Linked DNA regions of Anolis sagrei. The protein of the gene in region 1 interacts with the protein of each later gene in a pairwise test. Links are inferred from orthologs where the notes say so. Each region holds a gene or a part of one and is shown in the gene's direction. Other genes may lie near its edges. The genes, in order: CREB3L1, TSPO and GPR25.

Region 1 (10,872 bases):
AAGTGGATTCATTTTGTAGTGTGATGAAGTAATTGGTGCCCATTTCATGTGCTGGACTACAACACCCATCACTCCAGCCAGCATGGACAATGATGAGAGTTGTAATTAACACTTAGAAGGCACCAGGTTGGTGGCTTAACTATCCATTTTATCATTTGTCCAAGCGGCAGTCACCTATCCTCTCAATTTGATGTTTGAGTGTTTACTATTGAAGTGAAACATTCTAAGGAGAAATCTGGGCGACAAGAACAAAGTAGTTCAAGTTTCAATTTGAGCTATACAGTTGGTCTTGCTTTAGCAGAAGACTAAGATGATATAATGGCACATTGTCACCCATAAGCAGTGTATGCACATCCATCCATCTTTCTCCCAAACCAATATATAGATGCAACCAATCTTGTATTTTGGTAGTTCTATTTTCTTTATGAAATGGAACTAGTTTTTATAAAGCAAACAAATTTTAATTTCTGCGGGAGTGTCTTTTTAAAAGAATTGTGACCTGCTATTGTTTTTATTATTGTTGCTGAAGTTTCCATTTAAAACAGAATTAAATTACGAACATATAAGAACAATTTAAAGCATACACTTTAAAATGACAAGCTGTAAATAAAACTACAGCATAAAAATATATTTGAAAAAATAGCAAAAAAGGACCATGATACATCACCTATATTTATCCTAGGGATGGGCAAGGGTGGAACTCCAGGGCCAATTTTCTGCTTCTGGGATTCTCAGAGACAATAGGGACTATTAAAACAACCCAAACCAAATAAACAAAAATCTGGGAACTGGCCCAGTGGTTCTCAACCTGGGGTCCCCAGATGTTTTTGGCCTCCAACTCCCAGACATCCTAACAGCTAATAAACTGGCTAGGATTTCTGGGAGTTGTAGGCCAAAAACATCTGGGGACCCCAGGTTGAGAACCACTGGGCTAGAAGTTCATTTCTGGTTTTGAAACAAAGGTATTTTTCTGTTAAATAGTCATTGGGAAACTTATCCTCTTGGATTTCTTTGGCCAGAAAAGAGGTGGTTGAGGGAACTTTATTGGGGTCAAGGGCCTCCAAAGCAGTCTATATGTGTCCCAGATCCATATTGACACCTTATACTCTCCAATAAGGTGGTATATCTGCACCCAACAGGTCAGACATTCCTTGACTTCTGACAGCAGAATCCCATTTTAAAGAATTATAATTATAAGCATATTTCACAAGCCGAAATTGTTCTCCTGAATGGTGAGAATTATCTGACTTCAGAGAGGTGCAATATGGGAATGTCTTCCCAGTTTCTTCTATTTCTGGTGTTCATACATGAGTGCAATTCTTTTGTATGGCCAAAAGTTGCTGTTTCGTGCCTTCAAATCATTTCCAAATTATGATGATCCTAAAGCAAACATATTTCTTTTGCCATAATTTGTTCAGTGGGGGTTGGCTTATCTTGAGAGTTTGTGCTTGTCTTAAGGTCACCTAGTGGATCTCTATGGCCAAGTGGAGATTCAGTGTGGTCTAGTGGTTTGAGCATTGGACTGCGACTCTGGAGAAAAAGGTTTGAATCCCTGCTCGGCCATGAAATCAACTTGACTAGCTTGGGCAAGTCCAAAGGCTTCAAAGGAAGGCAAGGATAAAACCTCTTCTGAATGAATCTTGCCAAGAAAAAAATTATGATAGGTTTGGTTTAGTGAAATAACATGAAGTGCACAACAACTCTCAAAGTAGTGAAACTACTAGACTATGCTGACTCTAGGCAAAATAGGATCACCCAGTGCCAAAACGTGAGTATAAACAGAACTGGATAAATCATAAATTTGTAGATTTCTTTAAAAAAATGAAAAAATTAAGAAGGAAAATACAAAAAGAGGAATTGGAATTCTGCATGCAATTTTGACTACGGTTGTATCTGCTTTTCAGAATTGTAGCAGTTTGACATGACACTAATGACTGTGGCTCAATGCTGTGGAATATTAGGGTTGGTAGTTTTGTGCAATGGCACCTCTAGTGTCACAACAAGCTACAAATCTCAGAAATCTATATGATGGAGTCATGGCAACTGAAGTGGTGTCAAACTGTTATAATTCTGCAGTGTGGACGTCTGCACGTATTGCAGGTGAGAACTGAAGAACTGAATTGAGGATTGGATATTCTTGGAGGAGGACATAGCCAGAAGTGGAAAACATTAATGGCAACATTGACACATTAGAGCTGAAAGTGTAAGGAGATCTAATTCACTGGTCTCACAACGTTAAGAATGTTAATTTGTGCATTTGTTCATTAATCTGTTTTAACATTGAACTTCAAAAACATTGCATGGAATTGCTGAAACACAGTGTTAACAAGTTAACATAATGAGAAACTGTAGAACTATGTCAATTATCATTGTATCAAAGTAACATTTTTGACAAAAAGTGTTGCTGAAAACTTGAGCAAATTAGGGGAATTAATTCATTTTTTTTGCCAATTATTTCTAAGCTCTGGGCATGGCTGGCTGACTGGAACAGTAGCAGACTGATCAAAATAATTTAGGAGAAGGAAGTGTTCATCCTGAACTATAATAAGATTGTAAATGTATTCATTTATTCTAATAAGGACATCACTTTGAATTAAAAATTACTAGAGTTTAGACTTCACTACACCTCAGCTATCTGCAGACTGATATCCGTACAAGACTTTCCTGCCCTGCAGTATGAAGAAGGGGAGAAGGATTTCACTGCTGGCAATGTCTTTTGGGAAACACAACTCTGTTTTCTAACACTATTCAAAGAGGTTTCTCTGGATTTCTAAGAGGAAAGAGGATAAACTTGGCTAGGATCTGTAATCTCACCCCTATGAAGCCCTGTAATCTTCCTGAAACTAAAAAATTGTGCTTTGGTCTGTAATTACAGTGTTATTAGACAGACTGCAAGGAACAGGCCCACCTGCATTGACAGAGTAACTGGTACTATCAAGTTAAGGTTACCATCTATGTGGATTTTCTTTCTTTTTTTTGCTTTACATTCAGTTTTAAAATTTAAGCTTTCTAATTCATCAGTTTCTGTCTCTTCTCCCAGTTTCTATTTTATGAAAATGATATGATGATCTTCAGAAATTAGATCTCATTAATTAAGTTATTTGACCTCTGGAGTCATGATTTTAGACAACGTGAGATCACAATATGTCATGAATTGTTCTGGTGGTGTGCCTGCAAGGCATTTCCAACCTATGGTGGATTTAAAAGGAAGCCTATTACATGGTTTTCTTGCCTGGATTTATTCAGAGTAGATTTGCCATTATCCTCCTCTGAGGCTAAAAGATTGGGATTTGCCCAAGATCACTCAGTGGACTTTATGACTAAGGGCTTATATACTAGCATCAAGAGTTGTAGTCCAATGCTTAAACCAATCCATCATATTGACATTGATATATTTTTGAGGTATGAGCAAAATGATAAGCAATCCTAGGTCTCAGAAAATGTTGTTAATTCAGAAGAAACTCTTCTTTTTATGTCAACAGTATGTCAGTTGTTTAATGTCCTAAAATTGCTTAGTAGTTTGAAGCATCTTTTACAGTTGCTGTAAATTACATAGGGGAGAAATGTTGTACATGTGTACCCTGAAGATTAGACAGTGATGAGGTCTAAAGGTTTGATCCAACTGCATGTTGGGAAGCTAAAACACTGCTTTCTTGTTTTAAAACTTAGGAAACCTCTGTGATAACTGTTACGCTGTACAATCAAAATCATATTTTAAATGTGATAGAACTTTTCAGGGATTGTGTGTGTGTGTGTGTGTGCGTGTCAAGAGTATGGCCTTTCTCAAACTACATGGAAAATCAACTGTTGGGGTGCAATGGGACACCCTGCAACTTTCTGAATGTTCAGATTTGGAGGTCATGGTTGGAAAGCTCTCACAATCCTAATATAATGTATGCCGAGATGAGGAATCCCACAAATTTCCTGGGACACAGGTAGATGGATTAGCACCAAATCTGGAAGGTTCAGGCCCCTTCTACACTGCCATATAATCCAGGGCAGGCATAGGCAAAGTTCGCCCTCCAGGTGTTTTGGGCTTCAACTCCTAAAATTCCTAACAGTCAATAATTGTGGGAATTAAAGTTCAAAACATCTGGAGGACCGAAGTTTGTCTGTGCCTCCAATAGGGATATGAGGATGTTTAAAATAAATGCTTGGAGTTATATAGACTAGTTGTGTCGTCTAGACATGGTCCAACTATCACAAAAGCTGCACACAATGCTAAGGACATTCAAGGTGTTTGTTGTCTAAGGAAGCAAAGGACAGGAGCACATCCCTTCACAATTCCTCAAAAATAGCCCGATAGACTGGTTCAAGATTGGGAAAGGAGTATGGCAGGGCTGTATACTCTCACTTGACTTATTCAACTTGTATTGAGAACACATCATGCGACATACTGGGCTTGATGAATCCAAGGCTGGAGTTAAAATTGCTGGAAGAAACATTAACAATCTTAGATATGCAGATGATAATACCTTTGATGGCTGAAAGCGAGGAGGAACTGAGGCGCCTTCTAACCAAGGTGAAAGAAGAAAGTGCAAAAACTGGGTTTCAGCTAAACATTAAAAAAAAAGATGATGGCAACCAGACGGATTGATAACTGGCAAATAGAGGGAGAAAACGTGGAGGAAGTGACAGACTTTGTATTTCTAGGTACAAAGATTACTGCAGACGCAGACTGCAGCCAGAAAATCAGGAAACACTTACTTCTTGGAAGGAGAGCAATGGCCAATCTCGATAAAATAGTGAAGAGTAGAGACATCACACTTGCAATGAAGATCTGCATAGTTAAAGCAATGGTATTCCCTGTAGTAACCTATGGATATGAGAGCTGGAGGATAAAGAAGGCTGAGCGAATGAAGATAGATGCTTTTGAACTGTGATGTTGGAGGAAAATTCTGAGATTGCCTTGGACTGCGAGAAGATCCAACCAGTCCATATTCCAGGAAATAATATGCGACTGCTCACTGGAGGGAAGGATATTAGAGGCAACAATGAAGTACTTTGGCCACATAATCAGAAGATAGGTAAGCTTGGAGAAGACAATGATGCTGGGGAAAATGGAAGGAAAAGGGAAGAGGGGCTGATCAAGGGCAAGATAGATGGATGATATCCTTGAAGTGACTTGCTTCACTTTGAAGGAGCTGGGGGTGGCCACGGCCGACAAGGAGCTCTGGTGTGGGCTGGTACATGAGCAGAGGCGGCCCTAGGTAATTTTCAATGGTAAGCAAACAGTATTTTGGCACGCCCCCCCCCCCCCCCAAACCAATCATTGATATATATTTTCTGTTTCACGTGGGAGTTCTGTGTGCCATATTTAGTTCAATTCCATCATTGGTGGAGTTCAGAATGCTCTTTGATTGTAGGTGAACTATACATCCCAGTAACTGCACTTGCCGCACTTGCTCCCTTGCCTGGTCCGCTTTGGGTCCGGAGGCGTGCCTGAAGACCCCGGCGTGTGCACCAAAAGTCACCTCTTCTCTTGACTTACTCCTCAGCCATTGGGACTGAGAGAGAAAGAGAGAGAGAGAGAGAGAGAGGTGGAGATGCCCACATTTCCTGAAAGTAGGCACAAAAACAAAGGAGGGAGCGGAGGTGGGAGATACCTCCAGCCGGAGGGGCTCTCTCTCTCTCTCTCTCGCTTGGTCCCAATGGCTGAAGAGAAAGTCAGGAGAAGAGGCGACTTTTGGTGCGCACGCTGGGGTCTTCAGACACGCCTCTGGACCTGAAGCGGACCAGACGCGGCTGCTCCGCCCCTTGGCCCACCCGCGGATTGGGGAGAGGAGGCGGGTGGAGCGCCGGGGGATCGGGAAAGGGAGCCGGTCATGGGGAAGGGATCGAACGCGGAGAACGATTGAGCGCCGGCTCTGCTCGCGCACCCAGTGGCCGGGTGGAGCAAGAACGAGAGGGGTTAGGCGAGGCTCAAGGGCCCGGCCCCTTTGGGAAGAGGATCGCCCGGCAGCGAGGCAAGAAAGCCGAGGCTCCCCCCGGACTGCTAGGGCTGTTGTGAGCTGAGGGGGCGCTCCTCAAGTGGCGGTCGAGGGGCATTTACAGAGGCGCCTCTGCGCCCCTGGCAAAAAAGAGTGTTCTGCGACCGCTTACTTCGCGTAATGGACGAGCCGCCCCTGTCCATGAGGTCACGAAGAGTCAGAAGCGACTGAACGAATAAACAACAAGGAACATCAAGGCAGGTAACCCCACATTATCTGAGTGTGGGCTCAGATAACTCAGTTCAAAGCAGATATTGTGGGATTTTCTGCCTTGATGTTCTGGGCCATAAGGCTGTGTGGAGGGGCCCAAACCTCCCCTCTCCACGGCAGGGCTAGTGGGTTGAGCCATGGGAGCTCAAGAGGTGTCAAACTGCTTTCATTGCACGCCTAGTTCGGCTTTGGCTCCACTCGGGGCTCCCATTGGCCGCGCGGGAGGATTGGGGGCGGGCCTTCGCGTTGCCTGATTGGCAGGGTGCCTGTCTCTCGAGGCCGCTGGAATTTTGCATATTCATGAGCGCCCAGGGCTGGTGGGCGTGGTTTCGAGAGCTGCCGCTGCTGCTGGCTGCTGAGACTCAGTGGCTGTGTGTGACGGTGACAGCAGGGCAGGGATCCCGGCGGAGAGGAAGGCGCCCCTCCCTCCTGCAGACCCTCCCTGCCTCCCTCCCTCTCTCCCTCTCTCCCACCGCATCTTCTTCCCAGCCTCATGGATTACCAGATCCCCCGAGAAGCGGGAGGCTTAGCTCCAGGGCATCCGCCGCGAGGGGCTTCCAGAGAGTGAGGAGGGAGAGGAGGAGGAGGAAGGACCCCTCCACATCCAGAGCATCCCCACCATGGACAGCCTCCTGGAGCCCTTCCCCTCGGAGCGCCTCTTCCCCGGGGGCGCCCCCAGTTTCCTGGACCTGGGCGACCTCAATGAGTCCGATTTCCTCAATAATGTGGTAAGAAAGGGGAGGAGATGTGTTCTGGGGAGGAAGAGGGGAAAGGGTTACATCTCCCTCCTAGAGTGACCCTTGGGTGCATCTCCACTGGGGAATGAATGCAGTTGAACTGCCAGGGCTCAAGGCTATGGAACAAGGGGAGTTGTAGTTTGGTGAGCTCTCTTTCAAGGCTATGGAACAGACATGGGCAAACTTGGCTCCTCCCGGTGTTTTGGACTCCAACTCCCACCACTGCTAACAGCCTCAGGCCCTTTCCTCTTCCCTCTTCTATGGAACAATTGGAGTTGTAGTTTGGTGAGTGCTCTCTCAAGGCTATGGAACAGGCATGGGCAAACTTGGGTCCTCCAGGTGTTTTGGACTCCAACTCCCACCATACCTAACAGCCTCAGGCCCTTTCTTTTCCCCCTCCTCTATGGAACAAGGGAAGTTGTAGTTTGGTGAACTCTCTTTCAAGGCTATGGAACAGGCATGGGCAAACTTGGGTCCTCCAGGTGTTTTGGACTCCAACCCCCACCATTCCTAACAGCCTCATGTTCTTTACTTTCCCCCCCTCAGCTGCTTAAGTAGCTGAGGGGGAAAGGGAAGGGGCCTGAGGCAGTTAGGAATGGTGGGAGTTGGAGTCCAAAACGTCTGAAGGGAGGGCCCAAGTGTGCCCATGTCTAATCTATCTACATGTGGAATGAGTGCCATTTGACCCTATTTTCACTGCCATGACACAATGCTAAGGAATCCTTGGAGTTGTAGTTTTGCGAGTTCTTTAGCTCCCTCTGCCAAAAAAAACCTCCCAGGATTTCATACCACTGAGCATTTCAATTGATGTCAAACTTCCACAGTGTACATGTACCTTTTGTTTGGAAAAGTGGCAACATTTGGCTTGTGTGGGGCTGTTTTGTAGCAGGGATGCTGTAAGTTTTTTGGGCTGTATGGCCATGTTCCAGAACCATTCAGAGGTTGACCTCACAACCTCTGAGGATGCCTGCCATAGATGCAGGTGAAACGTCAGGAGAGAATGCTTCTGGAACATGGCCATACAGCTCAGAAAAATTACAGCAACCCAGTGGTTTCGGCCATGAAAACCTTCGACAACACATTGTTTTGTGGCAGTTCGTTCCCTCAGGCAGGCATAATCGCTTGATGGTAGTCCTGGAGTGTTAATAAGAGGTCCCAACCCTTGCTTCAAAGCACCATCACCATTGCTGGACAGGTGAATGTGATGAGCCAGGTTTAGGATCCAAATGGATCTCCCTTCTGTTCTGAGTGCAAAATGTCACCTCCATGACAGTTTGAATCCATCCTCTTTTTTTCCAGATGGAACCTCTTAGGAGAGGTTCACGTTCAGAATTGTTTTTCAATCTTGCAAGGCAACAGTTGTGGTCACTTAATGGAGGGTTTTCCATGCTTTTCTAAAGTTGTACAGCTCTTAACATATAAAGAAGGCAAGTTTAAAAAGTGGGGGCCCTTCCACACAGCCATATTATCCAGAATATCAAGGCAGAAAATCCCACAATATCTGCTTTGAACTGGGGGCCCTTCCACACAGCCCTGTATCCCAAATATCAAGGCAGAAAATCCCACATTATCTGAGTATGGACTCAGATAACCCAGTTCAAAGCTGATATTGTGGGATTTTCTGCCTTGATATTATGGAATATAGGGCTGTGTGGAAGGGCTCCAGGTTATCTGAGTCCACACTGCCATATATTTTAGTTCAAAGCAGATAATGTGGGATTTTTTTCAGCTATGTAGAAGGGTCCTCTGTTAACTATCATATGAGATCCCTTTACTTAGGGTGCATCCACACTGTAGAATGAATACAGTTTGACATCACTTTAAGTGCCAAGGCTCTGTGCTATGGAAACATGGGAGTTGTAATTTTGCAAGGTCTTTTGACTTCTCTTCCAAAGAATGCTGGTGCCTCATCAAACTATAAACCCCAGGATTCCATAGCATCCAACCAAGGCAGTTAAACTGGTGTCAAACTGCATTCATTCTACTGTATAGATTTCGCCCCAGCCGATTTTAGTCCTGTATCCAGACAAGGCAGTTAAAGTGGTGTCAAACTGTGTTAATTCTGCTGTGTAGATGCTGCCCCAGCTGATTTTAGTGCTGCATCCAACCAATGCAGTTAAAATGGTGTCAAACCGCATTGATTCTACTGTGTAGATGCAGCCCAAGCTGCTTTCAGTGCTGCAGAGAAATTCCTGGTGGATTCTCTCCCTTTGTATATTTATATGCGTAGTGGCAATTTGATAGCCCATTGGTATTGTAAAGATAGTGACATATGTTAATAATTATTACCAATTAAGTACATTCAGATGATAAGGACATCCTGTAAAGACTTCGCATCCATATTAACATGTTTTAACTACTGTATTTACTCATGTCTACTGCACCATTGAATCTAATGCACACCTCACTTTTCAAAACTATGAAACCAAAAAAAACAAAACAAAAAACTGCTGAATGTGATGCGCAGCAGCAAAAACTGTGCTCTTTGTGTGTGTGTACATATATGTGTGTATGTGTTATATATATATATATATATATATATATATATGGACAAAAAAGATGCACATTAAAATTGGTGTGTACTTAGAATGCCTTCTTTAAAACAGAAGTGTCAGAACACCAAAGCTTTCAGCCATGGAAAAGAAAACCTTGGCGTGCATCTATGCTGTAAAATGAATCCACTTTAACTACCGATAGCTCAATGCTATGGAATCATAGGGGTTGTGGTTTTGTAAGGTCTTAAATTTTCTCTGCCAAAGAATCCAGATTCCTCACCAAACTACAAATCCCAGCATTGCATAGCATTGAGCCATGACCATTAAATTAGAGGTAATATTCCCCAAATAGGAGCTCCAGGTGCTCCTGAAGCAGCTTCCCCTTTTGCATTGGATCAGCACTAAGATGACCATATTACGTTAATCTAATGTGCACCCTAATTTTGATAGGGCCATTTGAGCAAACAAAGTGAACATTAGATTCAAGTAAATTGAATATTAAGTCTTGTGAAATGAACCTAGAGTCCTCCATTAGTGTCAGAAGGAGACGGGGATGAATCCTAGATGTTGGTGAAGGGAGAGATCCTCATCATTTGAAAGAATAATTAATCATACACATGAACATAGTCTACCTAAGTACAGAGTAGGACTGAAATCACTGTATCACAGATAGCAAATGTGCATAAACCCATTGGTGGGTTTATGCACAGACTTGTTATAGTTACAGTTAAGGGTCTCAAGTAATGAGGGGCCTCTACATTATAAAAAAGAACATGCATCAGTGTCCATTAGAGGAACATTCCTATTTTTAATAATGCCTTTGGAACTTTTCAACTTACTAAAGTTTAAAGCAGGCATGAGCAAACTTCAGTCCTCCAGGTGTTTTGGACTCCAACTCCCATAATTCCTAACAGCCTCAGACCCATTCCTCCCCCTCCCCTTCAGCCACTTAAGCGGCTGAGGAGGAAAAGGAAGCGGCCTGAGGCTGTTAAGAATCATGGGAGTTGAAGTTCAAAACGCCTGTAGGGCCAAAGTTTGCCCATCCCTGTTTTAAAGGAAGGCTGGGGAACTGTAGCCCTTCAGCTTCCACCTGCCTTAGCATTGTAGGATTCATGCAGGGTTGCAGTCCAAAAACTGTCATAATTGGTTAACCTGGTTAAGAATTTTAGCATAGCCCTGTGTGCCTCACACTCCAGATGTTGGATTGCAAATGCTATCCGCCAGTGTAATGTAGTGTAGTGGTGCCCTGGTGGCACACTGAGTTAAAGCGTTGGGCTGCTGAACTTGCTAACTGAAAGGTCGCAGGTTTGAATCTGGGGAGCGGGGTGAGCTCCTGCTGTTAGCCCCAGCTTCTGCCAACCTAGCAGTTCGAAAACATTCAAATGTGAGTGGATCAATAGGTACTGCTCCAGTGGGAAGGTAATGGCAGTCATGCCAGCC
Region 2 (11,068 bases), on another chromosome or scaffold:
CAAGGATTGGAGAGAAAGCTTTAACGGAGGCCCCTTCTACATTGCATACAACAAAAATACCACTTGTATAACATAAACAATAATATAATTCAACAACAGTATATAAACATGCTGAACTGTTAACCTCACAGCGACAACAAACAATATGGTGCAAAATTTTAGTACAGTCTTATCTTCTTATAAGTAGCTTGTGGATCAGCCGTCCACGACCGGTTTCGGCCTACCTCAGGCCTTCCTCTGGTGGAAAAGTTATACACTTGAGAATTTGTTCTCCTCAGGGGCTACAGATTTTTTTGGGTCAGTGGTATAAAATTATACACTTGAGAGTTTGTTCTCCTCAGGAAATACAGATTTTTTAGCTTAGTGGTATATGATACTCTGTTCCATGTTGAGTTCTGGCTCTATGTTGATACTCGCAGCCAGAACTCAACATAGAGCAGAGTATCTTATACCACTGAGCTAAAAAATCTGTATCTCCGAGGAGAACAAACTTTTCCACCAGAGGAAGGCCTTTTCCACCAGAGTAGGCCGAAACCAGTCGTGGACGGCTGATCCACAAGCTACTTATAAGAAGATACGACTGTACTAAAAAATTGCACCATATTGTTTGTTGTCGCTGTGAGGTTAACAGTGCAGCATGTTTATATACTGTTGTTGAATTATATTATTGTTTATGTTATACAAGTGGCATTTTTGTTGTATGCATTTCATTCAGGAACCCATTTATATTATAGTATATTGTTACAGAGCCCCTTCTACATTGCCATATAAAATTCTGATATGATGTATAGTACGCCTGAGGCCCCTTCCACACAGCTGTATAAAATCCACATTTAACTGGGTTATATGGCAGTGTGGACTCAGATAATGGAGTTCAAAGCTGATCTTTGGGCGATAGGCTGTGTGGAAGGGCTGCGCAGGGCCTGCCTGTCCAGTGTTCTCCCATGGCCGGGCCTTCCTGCTGGCTCACCGAGGGCTCCAGGTGGTGCAGCTTCTCCGCGGCGGCCAGGGAGGCGACGAAGACGGCGGGCTGGCTGTGGACGGTGCGGTCCAGCTGGGCCTTAGGCCCGTGGAGGCAGAGGCCCAGGAGGTCGTAGCCCAGCACCTCCTCGGCCGCGCGGAAGAGCTCCCTCGCGCTGGGGTAGCGCAGCAGGCCTTGGCCCATCCCCACGAACTGGCTGCCTTGGCCTGGGAAGAGCAGCACCGAGGTGTCCTGCGGGGAGCGACGCGGGCCCCGCAGCCCTTCGCCTGCGCTCTCCTCCTCTTCCTCCCCCTCCTCCTTCTCCACCAGGGCGCCCTCCAGAAGGGCCTGCACCCTCCCGTCCTCCTTCGGGCTCCTGGCCTGGCTCAGCCACCGTCTCGCCGCCACGAACCTGCCCCGCCACGCCATGGCCACAAGGACTAGGCCGCCGCACGAGGAACACACCGCCGGTTGCTACGGCAACCGCCCGCGTGCCAAGGAATTGCGCGCGGCTCGAGTCCGGTTGCGAAAGGCTTCCCCCTGCCTGGGAACTATAGCGCGAGGAAAGGGTTCCGCCGCATGAAAAGACTCTCTGGAATAGAATACCTTCCTCACAGCTGAATAAAACCCCACATTATCTGCTTTGAACTGGACTATATGGCAGTCTGGACTCAGGTAACCCAGTTCAAAGCAGATATTGTGGGATTTTCTGCTGTGTGGGAGGGCCCTAAGGCTACCTAAGCATTTTTTTTTAATTTTAATTATTACATTTGGCCCAGCTATTGGTTTTTAAACGTGTCGTGTTATTGTTAATGTTTATTGCTTATATTTGCATATGAATTTATTTATTGTTTTGTATTATTGTTGTTATTGTTTATTGTTGTATTGTGGGCTTGGCCTCATGTAAGCGTAAGCCGCAGCGAGTCTCTTGGGGAGATGGTAAAAGGTAAAGGTAAAGGTAGTCCCCTGACATTAAGTCCAGTCATGTCTGACTCTGGGGTGTGGTGCTCATTTCCATTTCTAAGCTGAAGAGCCAGCATTTTCCGTAGACACTTCCAAGGTCATGTGGCCGGCATGACTGCATGGAGCGCCGTTACCTTCCCGCCGGAGCGGTACCTATTGATCTACTCACATTTGCATGTTTTCGAACTGCTAGGTTGGCAGAAGCTAGGGCTGACAGCGGAAGCTCACACCGCTCCCCGGAATTGAACCTGCAACCTTTCAATCAACAAGCTCAGCAGCTCAGTGCTTTAACCCACTGCACCACCGGGGAAGATGGTAGCGGGGTACAAATAACTTTTTTTTAAATTATTATTATTATTATTACCTTCCCTCCTCCAACAGAACCCAACTTTACCCCTACAGACCTCAAGTGGGGCAATTCAGGCCTTTGGTCTGTACCTTTTTGGCAGATTTGATTTGGAGGGGCTAGAACTGTTCTTCGCTGAGGGCCCTTCTGTGGGGAAGCATTGTGAGGAAGCGTTATTTTACTGCCACCAATGTATAAACCATTTGTGAGGGTGCCCCCACTTAATGAGGGTTTATTTAGTTTGATAGCGTAGCTTATGACTAATAAATGTTGGGTTGTTGTAGGTTTTTTCGGGCTGTATGGCCATGGTCTAGAGGCATTTTCTCCTGACGTTTCACCTGCATCTATGGCAAGCATCCTCAGAGGTAGTGAGGTCTTTTGAAACTAGGAAAAGGGGTTTATATATCTGTGGAATGACCAGGGTGAGACAAAGGACTCTTGTCTGCTGGAGCTAGGTGTGAATGTTTCAACTGACTACCTTGATTAGCATACAATGGGCTGACTGTGCCTGGAGCAAACTTTTGTTGAGAGGTAATTAGATGTACCTGCCTACTTACTCTCTGTTGTTGTGCTGTTGCAATTTTAGAGTTTTTTAAATACTGGTAGCCAGATTTTGTTCATTTTCATGGTTTCCTCCATGCTTGTGGATTTCAATGGCTTCTCAGTGTAGTCTGACATGGTGGTTGTGAGAGTGGTCCAGCATTTCTGTGTTCTCAGATAATATGTTTTGTCCAGGTTAGTTCATCAGGTGCTCTGCTATGGTTGACTTCTCTGGTTGAAGTAGTCTGCAGTGCCTTTCATGTTCCTTGATTCGTGTTTGGGCAATGCTGCGTTTGGTGGTCCCTATGTAGACTTGTCCACAGCTGCATGGTACACGGTAGACTCCTGCAGAAGTGAGAGGATCCCTCTTGTCCTTTGCTGAACTTAGCAAAGTTTGCTCCAGGGACAGTCAGCCCATTGTATGCTAATCAAGGTGGTCAGTTGAAACATTCACACCTAGCTCCAGCAGACAAGAGTCCTTTGTCTCACCTTGGTCTTTCCACAGATATATAAACCCCTTTTCCTAGTTCCAACAGACATCACTACCTCTGAGGATGCTTGCCATAGATAAATCACAAATTCATCACCATCCGCCAGTGTGGTCATTCGTTATTGACTCAATCATCATTCTGCAAATGCTATATTCCAAAGCCAGGTTTTTACCAGCTTTCTGAAAGTCAGGAGAGAAGAGGCAGATCTAATCTCCAACGGGAGAGAGTTCCAGAGCCGAGGGGCAAGGCTTTAGAAAAAATAGTAACAAGTTTATTAGAATGTAGAAGTATGATGGATTCAATGTTACTTAACTCTGAGAGGCACAAAACTTCATAGGTTGCATTTATAACGTTTCTTGAATAACTCTGGGAAGGGCTCTTCCTTCCTCTAAACAGGTTTCAAACAGTTTCTTTAAAAAGATGTTTCTTTCTTTTACAGATTGGTTCAGGCACACGCTTATCTTTGCTTTATGATGGTTCTTTTAATATAAATAAGTCACCTGACTTATCTCACTATACGGGCTCAAAGCCAAACCCTGATTCTTAATATTAATATTAAAGAATCAGTCATCCCCTATAGTTCTCTAACTATAGGATTCCTGCTGGTTTTCCACACACCACAGGATCAACCACCTCTGCAGTTCACCGACCACAGACTGACAGTTAAAAACGGCTGCTCTGCCAAGTGGCAACTCAACTCAAAGCAAACTAAGCTATAAATCCCAGTAACTACAACTCCCAAATGTCAAGGTCTATTTCCCCCAAGTTTCATCTGTGTTCATATTTGCGCGCATGGAATATTCCTGCCCAGTTTGGTCCAGATCTATCATTGTTTGAGTCCAAAGAGCTCTCTAGATGTAGATGAACTACAACTCCCATATTCAAGATCAATGCCCACCAAACCCTTCTAGTGTTTTCTGTTGGTCATGGGAGTTCTGTGTGCCATGTTTGGTTCAATTACATCATTGGTGGAATTCAGAATGCTCTTTGATTGTAGGTGAAATATAAATCCCAGCAACTATTTATTTCTTTATTTATTTCATTTACTTATACCCCGCCCTTCTCACCCCGGGGGGGGGGGGACTCAGGGCGGCTTACAGTGGGGGCACAATTAGATGCCCAAAACAATTCACAAGCAATAAAATACAAACAATTCAACAATTAATTAAAAACATCAGTACATAATAAAATAATAAAAACAGTCTTATGCTCAGGGTTCATAGTCCATATATCCATTCCATTCCATTTGTCCTTGTCTATCATCAGATCCTTCAGTTAGTTGTCAGAATGACCAAAGGCTTGATCCCAGATCCAGGTCTTCAGTTTTTTCCTAAATGCCAAAAGGGAAGATGACGATCTAATCTCCCCAGGGAGTGAGTTCCACAGGTGGGGGGCCACCACTGAGAAGGCCCTGCTCCTTGTCCCCGCCAGCTTCACTTGTGACAGTGGCGGGGTCGAGAGCAGGGCCTCCCCAGAAGATCTTAAGCTTCGAGGTGGGACGTAGAGGGAGATTCGTTCAGACAAATACACTGGGCCGGAACCGTATAGGGTTTTGTAGGTCAAAACCAGCACTTTGAATTGTGCTCGGAATTGGATCGGCAGCCAGTGGAGCTGACGCAACAGGGGGGTTGTATGCTCCCTGTACGTCGCTCCGGTGAGCAATCTGGCTGCTTCTCGCTGGACTAGTTGTAGTTTCCGAGCAGTCTTCAAAGGCAACCCCACGTAGAGTGCGTTGCAGTAATCCAGCCGGGATGTGACAAGAGCGTGGACCACCGTGGCCAGATATGGCTTCTCAAGGTACAACTCCCAAATGACAAAATCAATTTTTTGAGTGATGGTCATTCCTTGGGTTAATACAGGGGTCCTCAAACTATGTCCCGGGGTCCGAATACGGCCCTCCAAGGTAATTTACCCAGCCCTCGTTCAGGGTCAACCTAAGTCTGAAATGACTTGAAAGCACGCAACAACAATCCTATCTCATCAGCCAAAAGCAGGCCCACACTTCCCATTGAAATACTAATAACTTTATATTTGTTAAAATTGTTCTTCATTTTAATTATTGTATTGTTTTTAGGAGCTTTTTGCACCACAAATAAGATATGTGCAGTGTGCATAGGAATTCATTCAGTTTTTTTCAAATTATAATATGGCCCTCCAACAGTTTGAGGGACTGTGACCTGGCCCTCTGTTTAAAAAGTTTGAGGACCCCTGGGTTGTTAGGTGTCTTGTGGCCAAATTTGGCGGCAATTCATCCAGTGGTTTTTGAGTTATGTTAATCCCACAAATGAACATTATATTTTTATTTATATAGAAGATAGTAGACTGTGACCCCTTAAATCAGTGTTTCTCAACCTTCCTAATGCCACAACCCCTTAATACAGTTCCTTATGTTATGGTGACCCCACAAAAATGAAATCATTTTTGTTGCTACTTCATAATTTTGCTACTGTTATCAATTGTAAAGTAAATAGTGTATGGTGTATTTTCATTGACTGGACCAAATTTGACACAAATATATGATACGCCCGAGTGGGGTTGGGGGGCGGATTGATTTTGCCATTTGGGAGTTGTAGTTGCTGGGATTTATAGTTCACCTACAATCAAAGAGCATTTTGAACTCCGCCAACAATGGAATTGAACCTAACTTGGCACACAGAATTCCCATGACCAATAGAAAAAACTGGAAGGGTTTGGTGAGCATTGACCTTGAGTTTTGGAGTTGAAGGTCACCTACTTCCAGAGAGCACTGTGTCTCAAACAATGATGGATCAGGACCAAACTTGGCACAAATCCTCAATATGCCCAAATGTGAATAGTGGTGGAGTTTGGGAGGAAATAAACCTTGACATTTGGGAGTTGTAGTTGCTGGGATTTATAGTTCACCTACAATCAAAGAGCATTCTGAACCCCACTAACAATAGAACTGGGCCAAACTTCCCACATAGAAACCCCACGATCAACAGAAAATACTGTGTTTTCTGATGGTCTTTGGCGACCCCTCTGACACCCCGTTGCGACCCCTCAAGGGGTCCCGACCCCCAGGTTGAGAAACACTGCCTTAAATGAAATATATCATCAGACAAATGATTATGGAACATTGATAGAAAGTATTGCACTGTATGCAACAAACACTTGCAAATGTATGCCTACTTAAATTTTAAAAAATGGGGGGGAAAATCCGGTTTCTGCCTCCTGCAGAATTCTGGGGTTTGTAGTTTAGTGAGGCTGTTAATGGCTCCTCCCTAAACTACAACCCCTAGAATTCTGCAGAGGCAGAAAACGGATTTTAATTGAATTTTTAGTGTGATGAAGTGGAAACCATTTAAAGAGACCCATTTGAAATGCCATGCCCTTCCCTTTCAAGGTCTACAGCTATAGTTTGGGAAAGTTACTTGGGCTGGGAGGGGGGAGATGCTGGGAGTGGCAGCCCAGGCTTTTTTATAGGGGTGTGTTGAGCTTGAGAAAACACAGCTGCATAAAATCCACATTGAACTGGATTATATGGCAGCGTGGACTCCAGATAACCTAGTTCCAAGCAGATATTGTGGGTTATCTGCCTTCCCTTCTTCCGTGGGAGGCTGGGAGGCGGGGCCTGGGTTCCTCGCCAGGCTTTAGCTCCCGCCTGGCCTCGCCTTCCCTTCCTTCCTTCCTTCCTTCTGCCGAAGAAGAAGAAGAAGCAGCAGGTAAGAAACGGCTTCAAAGTACCCCTAATATCCAGCACCTGTTTAATAGCCTCCAAGGAAGGTGCTTCCACCAAACACCGAGGCAGAGAGTTCCACTGCTGAACGGCTCTCACATTCAGGAAGTTCTTCCTCATGTTCAGGTGGAATCTCCTTTCCTGTCATTTGAACCCATAGCTCCATTGAGTCCTTGGGCCCTTCCACACAGCTATACAACCCAGAATATCTCATATCTGCTTTGAACTGGGTTATCTGAATCCACACAATCATATAATCCAGTTCAAAGGGATTTTTTGCCTTGATATTCTGGGATATAGGGCCCTTCCATACAGCCCAGAATATCAAGGCAGAAAATCTCATAATATCTGCTTTGAACTGGATTATCTGAGTCCACACTGCTGTATAATCCAGTTCAAAGCAGAAAATGTGGGATTTTCTGTCTTGATATTCAAGGATATAGGGCCCATCCACACAGAATATCCCACAATATTTGCTTTGAACTGGGTTATCTGAGTCCACACTGCTGTATAATCCAGTTCAAAGCAGAAAATGCGGGATTTTCTGCCTTGATATTCAGGGATATAGGGCCCTTCCATACAGCCCAGAATATCAAGGCAGAAAATCCCACAATATCTGCTTTGAACTGGGTTATCTGAGTCCACACTGCTGTATAATCCAGTTCAAAGCAGAAAATATCCAGAGATATAGGGCCCTTCCATACAGCCCAGAAAATCAAGGCAAAAAATCCCACAATAGCTGCTTTGAACTGTGTTATCCGAGTCCACACTGCTGTGTAATCCAGTTCAAAGCAGAAAATGTGGGATTTTCTGCCTTGATATTCAGGGATATAGGGCCCTTCCATACAGCCCAGAATATCAAGGCACAAATCCCACAATATCTGTTTTGAACTGGGTTATCTGAGTCCACACTGCTGTATAATCCAGTTCAAAGCAGAAAATAGCCAGGGATGTAGGTCCCTTCCATACAGCCCAGAAAATCAAGGCAGAAAATCCCACAATATCTGCTTTGAACTGGGTTATCTGAGTCCACACTGCTGTATAATCCAGTTCAAAGCAGAAAATATCCAGAGATATAGGGCCCTTCCATACAGCCCAGAAAATCAAGGCAAAAAATCCCACAATAGCTGCTTTGAACTGTGTTATCCGAGTCCACACTGCTGTGTAATCCAGTTCAAAGCAGAAAATGTGGGATTTTCTGCCTTGATATTCAGGGATATAGGGCCCTTCCATACAGCCCAGAATATCAAGGCACAAATCCCACAATATCTGCTTTGAACTGGGTTATCTGAGTCCACACTGCTGTATAATCCAGTTCAAAACAGAAAATGTGGGATTTTCTGCCTTGATATTCAGGGATATAGGGCCATTCCACACAGCCCAGAATATCAAGGCAGAAAATTCCATAATATCTGCTTTGAAATGGGTTATCTGAGTCCACACTGCTGTATAATCCAGTTCAAAGCAGAAAATGCGGGATTTTCTGCCTTGATATTCAGGGATATAGGGCCCTTCTATACAGCCCAGAATCTCAAGGCAGAAAATCTCACAATATCTGCTTTGAACTGAGTTATCTGAGTCCACACTGCTGTATAATCCAGTTCAAAGCAGAAAATATGGGATTTTCTGTCTTGATATTCAAGGATTAGGGCCCTTCCACACAGACCTATATCTTAGAACATCAAGGCAGGAAAGCCCACATTATCTGAGCATTATTGTGGGATTTTCTGGGATATAGGATTGTGTGGAAAGGCCCGGAGTCTCATGAGTAGCAGAGAACAAGCCTGCTTCCTCTTCCTTGGGATAGTTTTCTTATACTTCGATTTAAGTTATATTCCTAGTGTGTTTTCATCTTTGTACCATGCATTTTCATACGTGTATCTTTCACGACACACTTCAATCTATGTCTTTTCTTTGTCTGTATTTTATGGTGATGTGTTTTAATGGTAGCTGGAGACACTTCTGTATAATGGCAGTTTCTGAATGAGGATTAACTGCATTGAGCTGGATTATTTGGCAGTGTGGACTCATATACTCCAGTTCAATCTGCATTCTGAAACGGCCTTTAGATCCAGCCTGTGTTGTGCCTCGCCTCAAGCCACAAGAAAAGTTGGCTAACAAATCAATCAATTAATAATTAATTAATTAATTAATAATCTTTGTTTCTGGGTTATAAATGTCATTTCCTAATTCGTTCTATCTAAAAACAATTTAAAAGTGTATTAAACTACAAAAACTTTGTTATGTGCGGGACATCCTGCAGCGCATTTTGTTCTAGTTTTTCAATGAATATCTCATAGTCTCAACTGTTTTGACATTGTTTGTGGCAGCCACAAAAACAACCTTTTTGGACTATGACTTTCAAATTAAGTCCTGCAGAATTACACAGGAAATGACGCTTTCAAACCAGGAATGGAAACTTTATCAAAATTTCGTTACATAGTGTTATTATTCTCTTCCAAATAGTTCTGGGGCCTTGCCATATGATAACTCCCAGGATTCCCAATATAACATTGCAATGGTTTATATAGTATTTGAATTGTGTATTTCGCATTGTATTTAATAATCTGGTTTTTATGTGTGTATTTGTTTGTCCTGTATGTAAAAGGCCTATGGTCTAAGCATTATCTATATATATAAATCTGTTAGGTTGGTTCAACCGGACAGCAAAACTCCACAACCCCCCAACGAAACTTAACCAAAATTCCCATGCCCATAACACAACCCACAAGGTACAAACATATCTACTCAAAATGAAAAACAACACAACAACACACTAACAAAACGGCAAAACAACAAAACTCAAAAAAAACCCCAACGAAACTTAACCAAAATTCCCATGCCCATAACACAACCCACAAGGTACAAAGATATCTACTCAAAATGAAAAACAACACAACAACACACTCACAAAACGGCAAAACAACTGAGCATGTGCATTGGTGCCCAGCCGCAAGTTCCCTGGCGCATGCACACAGCCTTCCGGCCAACGTTCCCTCTGCAGAAGCCATGCCCACTCCAAGCCCCACCGCGCCGCTTCCCGCACACACACACCCCCTGCCGCATGCACACACACAACCCCACGCTCCATCACTCCCCCCGCCGCCGCACACACACACGCATCCCCACGCTCCATCACTCCCCCCGCCGCCGCACACACACATGCAACCCCACTCCCCCCGCCACCGCGCACACACACACAATCCCACGCTCCATCACTCCCCCTGCCGCCGCACACACACACGCAACCCCACGCTCCATCACTCCCCCCGCCGCCACACACACACGCAACCCCACGCTCCATCACTCCCCCTGCCGCCGCACACACACACACAACCCCACGCTCCATCACTCCCCCTGCCACCGCACACACACACACAACCCCACGCTCCATCACTCCCTCCGCCGCGACACACACGCAACCTCACTCCCCCCGCCGCTGCACACACACATGCAACCCCACGCTCCATCACTCCCCCTGCCGCCGCACACACACACGCAACCCCACGCTCCATCATTCCCCCACCGCCGCACACACACACACGCAACCCCACTCCCCCCACCGCCGCACACACACACACAACCCCAGGCTCCATCATTCCCTCCGCCGCCGCACACACACACGCAACCCCACGCTCCATCACTCCCCTGCCGCTGCACACACACACACGCAACCCCACGCTCCATCACTCCCTCCGCCGCCACACACACGCAACCCCACTCCCCCCGCCGCTGCACACACACACGCAACCCCATGCTCCATCACTCCCCCCCCGCCACCGCACACACACACGCAACCCCACGCTCCATCACTCCCTCGCCGCTGCACACACACATGCAACCCCACGCTCCATCACTCCCCCCGCCGTCGCACACACACATGCAACCCCACTCCCCCCGCCGCCGCACACACACACGCAACCCCAGGCTCCATCATTCCCCCCGCCGCTGCACACACATAATAGTCCAGATATCTACCTCAACTTTGATAAGTTTTACTATAGGCCACAGCAACGCGTGGCAGGGCACAGCTAGTATACTATATTATATTATTTTAATAATTCAATTGG
Region 3 (9,294 bases), on another chromosome or scaffold:
ATAATAATAATAGAAATAACAACCTTTACCCGCCACGTGTTGCTGTGGCCAATCTTCCCTCTTTCTCTCCTTCCTTCCCTCCCTCCCTCCCTCCCTCCCTCCCTCCTTCCTTCCTTCCTTCCTTCCTTCCTTCCTTCCCATCTTTCCTTCTCCTCTTCTTTCTCTATCTCTTTCCTTCCTTCCCCCTTTTTCTTTCTCTTCTGCTGTCTCTCTTTTCTTTCCTTCCATCTTTCCTTTTCTTTCCTTTTCTTCTTCCTCTAACTTTCCTTCCTTCCCCCTTTTTCTTTACCTCCCTTTCTCTTTCTTCCTTCTTTCCTTCCTTCCTGTCTTTCCTAGATTTTGACAGGACGGGAAGGGGCGGGGTGGGGTTTGGAGGTGGCGTGAAGTAAAAGGAGGTAAGATTGGGGCAGGGGAGTGATGGAGCGTGGGGTTGCGTGTGTGTGTGCGGCAGCGGGGGGAGTGATGGAGCGTGGGGTTGCGTGTGTGTGTGCGGCGGCGGGGGGAGTGGGGTTGCGTGTGTGTGTGTGGCGGCGGGGGGAGTGGGGTTGCGTGTGTGTATGCGGCGGCGGGGGGAGTGATGGAGCGTGGGGTTGCGTGTGTGTGTGCGGCAGGGGGTGTGTGTGTGCGGGAAGCGGCGCGGCGGGGCTTGGAGTGGGCATGGTTTCCGCAGAGGGAACGTTGGCCGGAAGGCCATGTGCGCGCGCCAGGGAACTTGCGGCTGGGCGCCAATGCGCATGCTCAGTTGTTTTGCCGTTTTGTGAGTGTGTTGTTGTGTTGTTTTTCATTTTGAGTAGATATGTTTGTACCTTGTGGGTTGTGTTATGGGCATGGGAATTTTGGTTAAGTTTCGTTGGGGTTTTTTTGAGTTTTGTTCTTTTGCCGTTTTGTGAGTGTGTTGCTGTGTTGTTTTTCATTTTGAGTAGATATGTTTGTACCTTGTGGGCTGTGTTATGGGCACGGGGATTTTAGTTAAGTTTCGTTGGGGGATTTTTGAGTTTTGTTGTTTTGCCGTTTTGTGAGTGTGTTGTTGTGTTGTTTTTCATTTTGAGTAGATATGTTTGTACCTTGTGGGTTGTGTTATGGGCACGGGGATTTTGGTTAAGTTTCGTTGGGGGATTTTTGAGTTTTGTTGTTTTGCCGTTTTGTGTGTGTTGTTGTGTTGTTTTTCATTTTGAGTAGATATGTTTGTACCTTGTGGGTTGTGTTATGGGCACAGGGATTTTGGTTAAGTTTCGTTGGGGTTTTTTTGAGTTTTGTTGTTTTGCCGTTTTGTGAGTGTGTTGTTGTGTTGTTTTTCATTTTGAGTAGATATGTTTGTACCTTGTGGGATGTGTTATGGGCATGGGAATTTTGGTTAAGTTTCGTTGGGGGGTTTTTGAGTTTTGTTTCCTCGTTGGATGCCCCTAACAAATTTATATATATAGATGCAACTTTTAAAAATAAATAAATAAGAAATAATTTATCAACACTTTCTAAACACTTCTCATTTTCACTGAATCATGAGTCTGTATCTTGGTAATCAGTTTGGCTGCAGAGAATATACTAAATGCATACAGATATTTGTTTTTCTTTTTCCATATCTTGATATTCCAGTATAATTGGACCTGATGAAGAGTTCCAGAAAACTCCAAAACTTGATACACTTGTTACATTTTACTGATTCAAAGAAAGATGTCGCACGATTCTGATTTTCATTTTATTCATTATTTAATCATACAACTGTCCTGACTGCCTACCTGTGCAAGAATAAGAATGCACTTTGCCACTCATCTAAGAAGACAGCAGAAAGAGAGTTTTCAACAGTTGCAAAGGCTTTTAAAACCCTGGAACAGAACCTTTGTCTGTGAACATTTCTTTGTCTATGGCAGTTTTGTCCTTTTTGTGCACTTGTTGCTTCAGAGCTTGCACTTTTATGCTGATCATTTATCATTAATTCAATACTGTCCAATTCATACTGCACAGATGAGTCATTTCAATTTCTAAAGTATATAAAATGTTTGGCTAATTGGCTTGTAAATAATTAATTGACTGTTACCCTGTTTCAATGTGGTTTTGAAATGAAAAGGAGAGCAGCATCAACATTTAAAGAGTGCGGAAAGGAGAAGAACAAAAGTAATACTGGAAAGTTACATTTATATAAAAAAGATGCCTGATATGTTTAGGCAAAAGGTTTTTGAAGGAGCACAAAAATATAGTTTTCTTTAGATATTGCCTCAAGAAAACTATATTTTTGCTCTTCTAATTAATTATTAATCAAAGAACACTAGGCGTTTTACTATTTTATAAATTTTATGATGTCATTTTTATGTTTTACCTTTGGTAAAGTGTAATACATTTAAAATTTTGGTTTTAATAACTTGCTGAAGTAATTTCTTACTTATACATAAGAAGAAGAAGAAGAAGAAGAAGAAGAAGAAGAAGAAGAAGAAGAAGAAGAAGAAGAAGAAGAAGTGGTGACAAGAAGCAACCGGAAAAGCTTTCGTGACATGAGGATTTAAAGACAGAACTGCAAAGACTCTGGCACAAGCCAGTAAAGGTGGTCCCAGTAGTAATCGGCACACTGGATGCAGTGCCTAAAGACCTTGGTGTGCACTTAAAAACAATCGACGCTGACAAAATTACCATCTGTTAGCTGCAAAAGGTCATCTGCAGGCATTATTCGGAGATAAATCACACAGTCCTAAACACTTGGGAAGTGTCTGACGTGTGATCAAATACAAAAGCCAGCATAGTGTTCTTGTTTGCTGTGTACTAATCTTGTTATGTATCAAATAATAAAACTTTATTTATACCCCACCACTATCTCCCGTAAGGACTCAGAGTTGCTTACAAAATAGCACACAATGGTGCCATACATACATAAAATACAATACATCAACATATAGAATCAATAACACATTTACATAAAAACATACATATAAAATTAACAAAAACAATCTCTATTAAATAGTATTGGTAAAATGTGGCTATAGTCATTGGTTAGAAAGATCCATAGCAATTGATTTAGCAGCCCAGCTGTATACCCATCAAAATGTAGATATAAGGTACTAAAGTAATTGGCAATCGGTTTGGCTACCAGCTTAAATTTTATTAAAGGCCTGCTGAAAAACCCAAGTTTTTAACTCTTTCCAAAAGTGCTGTAGTGTGGGGTCTTGCCTACGTTCCTTGGGGAAGGAGTTCTGAAGCTGGGGGCCACCACCCCCAGCTTTGGGCCCTCTCCCTCATCCCCGCTAACTGCACTTGATATGGAGGTGGGACCGAGAGGACGGCTTCCCTGGAAGATCTTAGAGCCAACACCGGTTCATAGGGGGAGATGCGATCACAAAGATAGGCTAGACCCGAACTGTCAGGGGTCCTCAAACTAAGGCTCGGGGCCCGGATGCGGCCCTCCAAGGTTATTTACCCGGCCCTCACTCAGGGTCAACCTAAGTCTGAAACAACTTGAAAGCACACAACAACAATTCTATCTCATCAGCCAAAAGCAGGCCCACACTTCCCATTGAAATACTAATAAATTGGTATTTGTTCTTCATTTTAATTATTGTATTGTTTTTAAGTGGTTTTTGCACTACAAATAAGGTATGTGCAGTGTGCATAGGAATTCATTCATGTTTTTTTCCAATTATAATCCCGCCCTCCAACAGTTTGAGGGACTGTGGCCTAGCCTTCTGTTTAAAAAGTTTAAAAAGTCTGAGGACCCCTGGTGTAGAGCATTGTAGCTAATAACCTGCACATTGAATTGGGACCAGAAACTTATTGGCAGCCAGTGGAGCTGCTTCAGTAGGGGCAAGGTGTCTCCCTATAGATAGCCCCAGTTAGTATCCTGGCTGCCGATCTTTGCACCAACTGCAATTTCCAAGCCATCTTCAGAGGCAGCCCCACGTAGAGTGCATTGCAGTAATCCATTCTAGATATAACTAAGGCATGGATCACAATGGCCATAATGCAGCATTTAGCAGAAATGTATAAAATTTAGGAGGAAAGGATCTTGTTTAAGAATTGATCCCCCCCCCCCCCCGGTGATTGTAGAGCTTAAAATACAGGGTTAGTCAAAATGAATAGGCCAATAAGAAAATTAATTTTAGACGAATGTATGTTTATTGTAACCAAACTACAGCTACGTATCGACAGATAAATTATCAAAGTTTTGTCTCACCTTCAGAGATGTTTGATATGGGCGCCCCGTGTGACACGGCAGACGTCCAAGCGATAGTCCAGTTAATTCCACATCCGTTGCAGCACATCCGACGTAATGGCATCGAATGCAGCACATATGCGCTGTTTTAAGTCGTCCAAGGTCAGCGGTAATGGAGGTCGGAACACAGTGTCTTTCACATACCCCCAGAGAGAAAAGTCGCATGGTGTGAGGTCGGGGGACCTGGGGGGCCACAGGAGGAATGGAAGATCAGTCACTCCAGCACGGCCAATCCAACGTCTGGGAAGGTGTTCGTTGAGGTACTCGCGTATACTGTTGTGCCAATGCGGAGGGGCACCGTCCTGTTGGAATACGAAATTGGGCACTTTCTCTTCTAACTGTGGCATCAACCATTCAGACAACATGTCAGCGTACACTATGCCTGTTACGGTTTTCTCCGCAAAAAAGAATGGGCCAAACACGTGACGGTTGGTTATTGCACAGAAAACGTTTACCTTCGGCGAATCCCTTACATGTTCCAATACGGCATGAGGATTTTCAGATCCCCAAAAGCGGAGATTATGCCTATTGACCTTCCCGCACAGGTGAAACGTTGCCTCGTCACTGAAGACCAGTCTGTTGGCAAAGCCTTCCTCCTCTAGTCTTCGCTACATTGATTCGCAAAAATCGTGTCGTTTCGAATAGTCACCTTTTTTCAAAGCCTGCACCATTTGCAATTTATATGGCTTGAACTGCAAACGTTTGCGTAACACGCGCCACACAGTTTTTTGCGGAACGTTCAATTCCATGGAAACACGATTTGTCGACTTCTGGGGACTTCGTTGAAAGGATGCATAAATGGATTCCACTGTGTCTTCGGAGACACACGGTCGTCCTGTGGTTTTACCCTTGCATAAGCAGCCCGTCTCCTCAAATTGCTTTACCCACCTGGAATGTCGATGAGGTGGTTCCTTGCCATACTTGGCTCGAAATTCTCGCTGGACCGTAATTACTGACATTGTTTTAGCAAATGTCATCACACAAAACGCCTTCTCTTTGCCTGATTCCGCCATTTTGAAAACAGCGACTCCTAGCGATGCCTAGCGGCATTAACGTACATGTGTGTTGCTCAAAAAAAACTTTGATAGTTTATCTGTCGCTACGTAGCTGTGGTTTGGTTACAGTAAACATACATTCGGGTACAATTAATTTTCTTATTGGCCTATTCATTTTGACTAACCCTGTACATGTACCAGATTCAAGATCCAAGGGCTGAATCTGGTCCTCTAGATGCTGGACTAAAACTCTTGTATTCCTCATCATTAGTCATCATGACTATAGCTGATGGAAAGCAGCAATTTGTTCTGTTTAGTCAGGATAATAGGATTTGAATTTAGATACAAGACTTCTGGATAGTATATCTTACTTTAAATTGTCTTGTAACCATTCTTCTGAGCCACAAGTACTGTTGAGTTGCAATTCTTACAATCCCTAGACCATGACAGATAATCAAAAATGATGGGAATTGTCATTCAATAACATCTGGGGACCCACAATGGATGAAAAGTAAAGAGCACCAACCACTATGTAAAGAATTATTTTTGGCCCTCTGTATCAACAGATTTTCCATCCATGGATTCAACAGCTCTTTGAAAGCAAACATAAGGCTGATGTGGCGCTTGGTAGAATATGAGTTTGACACCCCTGGCTTAAAGGTTGTCAGGGTTCAAATGAATATCATTCTGCAAGTAAGCCATTCCACTTGAGAAGCAACTCTTGATAAGCACTGTGTGAAAAGTCCAACATTTTCTTTGATGCATGCTTTAAGGACAGTGATATTTATTTTCTGATTTCATAAAATCTGCAGTGAAACAAGTAATCATCACTGGATTGCAAATATCCTGCTGCGACCATCATAGAAGGTTCCACCATGATCATAAATGTACACACTCTTCAAACATAAGCATCCTGATACCCAGTTTCTGCAATCTTAAAGGATTTCCAAAATTGGGTTGATGTCAAGCTTTCAAGTTGTTATTGCTTGACTGAAACAAACCTCTACCTCTTCATGAAAAGCAAGAGGAAGTTACCACTAGAAAAACAAGAAAACCACTCTTTAGACAACACCCACCTGTTATAGATTGAATGTGCCTTGGTGTCCTCTTGCAACAATATTGCTGAAGACTCTTCAGTGAATCCTTGTTAAGAGATGGAAGCTGCTCAATTGTCAACTACATCAGCAATGACAGAAAACTGGAGTAGCAACTTTGAAGAATACCCAACTGAATATGATGGATTGGATTCTATGAATATCTGCCACCTGGAACTACCATTTGCTTACATCTTTATCCCCATTCTCTATTTCCTGAGTTTTTTCATCGGTTTCTTTGGGAACCTATTTGTGATCCTACTGATGGCACGAAAACAAGGTAGCAAAAGGCTTGTGGATACCTTCGTTCTCAATCTGGCCATAGCTGACCTGGTCTTTGTATTTACTTTGCCTTTCTGGGGTTTGTCAGCAGCTCTTGATGGCTGGCTCTTTAGTGAAGGACTATGCAAGCTGAGCAGCTATACCATCTCTGTCAACCGCTGCTCAAGTATCTTGTTCCTGACAGGCATGAGCGTGGAACGCTTCCTTGTGATGACCAAGCGTTGGGATGCCAGGTCCATTGGAACCAGGAAGAATGCCATCACGAGCTGTGGCTGCATCTGGGCAATCTCACTACTTCTAGGAATACCATCACTGGTCTACAGAAATCTGGCCTTCAAGGGAGATAGCAAATATTCATGCCAGGGTGACCCCCCTGCCACCTTCAGTGTGGTCATGCTCAGCTTAACCTTCCTGTTGCCGTTGGGAGTCATCTTGTTCTGCTATTGCTCTATCTTCTCCAAACTTCAGAGCCATGCCAGACTAGGCAAAAGAAGAAACAATGCCCTTAAAATCATCTTTACCATCATTGGGGCATTTGTCTGTTCTTGGCTGCCTTTCAACACCTTCAAGATAATCTTCACTATGGCTCAGAACATTGATCTCTCTTGCCAGGCCCTGAGAACTCTCTTCGGGGGACTCACCATCACCGCTTGCCTGGCTTTCGTAAACAGCTGTATCAACCCTGTCATCTATGTCTTTATGGATCAGCACTTTCGACAGCAGGTCCTGATGTATTTCCCTGGATTTTGGAAAGCAAAGGGAAATATGCAAGCCTCCAGCATGTCCTTTTCATCTACAGAATCAAGTGTTTTGTTTGGCAGCAGGAAAAAGCTCCCACCCGCCACGTCTGTTCAGATATGAAACACAGTAAAAGATGTGTAGGTTTGCAAAAGCCTCCAAGATTTGGCACGTTTTTGGCTTGGACTGCTGAGAATAACCACAGGGTTTCTGAGTTATGTTGATTATGAAAAAGAGGGTAAGGAGATGGTCTGTAAATGTGGGTGGAAATTGATATATTTTGACTATCAGTTGTAAATTACAATAGGAAAAGAATTTATTTTTATCATTATTTCTAATGTGTATGAATGAAATCAACTCCCCACTTATATAATTTGACCCCATTTCTATTGCATTATAAGAATAGAAATTTAACATATACCCATCATTATAAAGCTATTTCTGCTTGCTAAAATTGAGATATGCTGGGACTGAATAGGAGAGACATGTACAAGTGTATCTGCAGCTGAAATGTGAATTATTTTGCTTTTACTTTCAATTACATATGTTCTCACCACCACATTTTTGAATGTTTGTATCGTTTTTACAAAATTGATGAATAGATCTTGATTGCTCATTGAAAATATTTAGCATGAAAGAAAAATAAATTACCTTATAATTCTAGACCAGATTTTTAAAACGCATTAAGACAAGCATGCTTAATTAAAGATGAATATAGAACTAAAATTGTTCTTCTGTTGTGACATTATTCAAAAATTCTTGACAATTTCCTTTGTATCTAGGTTTCTCGCAATATGCTTTCTTAATTTTAATTAAAAATGTAAATCTAACACTGTGTGTGTGTAAATCTTTTTAAACGTGGTAATAGCAAATAACTCAATATGTGGGACCTACTCTTCCAGATATTTCACATTTTCAAATTTAAATTGGCAATTGACTCATTAATGACCCTATATCAGGCATGGGCAAACTTGAGCCCTCCAGGTGTTTTGGACTTCAACTCCCACAATTCCTTGCCTCAGGCCCCTTCGTTTTCACCCTCAGCCACTTAAGGGCCTGAGGCCAGGAATTGTGGGAGTTGAAGTCCAAAACACTTAGAGGGCTGAAGTTTGCCCATGTCAGCCTTATATCCATCAATTAACTCACAACATAGCAGTCTGGTTGTCTCTGTTCTTCTAGAAAGGCATAGGGAAATTTTTGACTTGAGCAAGATATACTTCATTTATTTTAGAATCTTGACACCCATCAATGAGAGACAGATGCAAAATTAGCTCTTTGGGAGGGTGGACATGGAATACCCCTAAAAGTGCCTCTGAGCCCATATACCCAAGTAATTTGCCAAAGTCTGTAAGATGCAGCCATAACAGTTAAAATGGAATCAAATTACACACACACACTCCAAGTTAGAGTCTACCACATTGTTATTTAAAATAATGGAGCAGTGGATGATGCAGTGGGTTAAACCCTTATGCTGGCAGGACTGCTGAATGAAAGGTTAGTGGTTCGAATCCAGGGAGCGGGGTGAGCTCCCATCTGTCAGCTCCAGCTTCTCATGCAGGGACATGAGAGAAGCCTCCAACAGGATGGTAAAACATCTGGGCATCCCCCTGGGCAATGTCCTTGCAGGCGGCCAATTTTCTCACATCAAAAGCGACTTGCAGTTTCTCAAGTCACTCCTGACATCGGGAAATTTTTTTAAAAAGAATGATCAATGCTATTTTGTGACAGAAAAAATGAAATCATTGCTTTTTAAAAACTGATTACATTGTCTGTTTAAAAAACCCCAAGCTATGTGTGAAAAAGAAATGCTATGTCTACTACCCGTGCTGACTAATTATGAAATGCAATCTGTTAAAAGCGGGACTTTGATTTCCAGTCTCACCTAGGTTTTGGTGAACCTTAATAAATCTTTCCAAGCGATGATTGCCGTAAGTCAGAGTCAATTCAAAGGCATATAACAACATTTTAAAAATCCAGTGCTTAGTACCTT

Evidence for each region.
Region 2: the proteins of CREB3L1 (region 1) and TSPO interact in binary tests that used the Homo sapiens proteins (3 or more experiments, as listed by UniProt). The two-hybrid records come from large-scale screens. The link is inferred for Anolis sagrei from reciprocal best matches to the Homo sapiens genes CREB3L1 and TSPO.
Region 3: the proteins of CREB3L1 (region 1) and GPR25 interact in binary tests that used the Homo sapiens proteins (3 or more experiments, as listed by UniProt). The two-hybrid records come from large-scale screens. The link is inferred for Anolis sagrei from reciprocal best matches to the Homo sapiens genes CREB3L1 and GPR25.

Annotation. Positions count from the first base shown.
Region 1 is NC_090021.1:278,269,706-278,280,577, forward strand, and holds the start of CREB3L1 (cyclic AMP-responsive element-binding protein 3-like protein 1), read left to right. Parts: upstream 1-6,531; 5' UTR 6,532-6,820; coding exon 6,821-6,928; intron 6,929-10,872.
Region 2 is NC_090025.1:97,644,642-97,655,709, forward strand, and holds the start of TSPO (translocator protein), read left to right. Parts: upstream 1-6,875; 5' UTR 6,876-6,984; intron 6,985-11,068. Other genes in the region: MCAT (malonyl-CoA-acyl carrier protein transacylase, mitochondrial), read right to left, coding at 971-1,390. UniProt on the Homo sapiens protein: Can bind protoporphyrin IX and may play a role in the transport of porphyrins and heme. Promotes the transport of cholesterol across mitochondrial membranes and may play a role in lipid metabolism, but its precise physiological role is controversial.
Region 3 is NC_090024.1:185,439,486-185,448,779, forward strand, and holds GPR25 (probable G-protein coupled receptor 25), read left to right. Parts: upstream 1-6,344; coding exon 6,345-7,427; 3' UTR 7,428-7,477; downstream 7,478-9,294. UniProt on the Homo sapiens protein: Orphan receptor.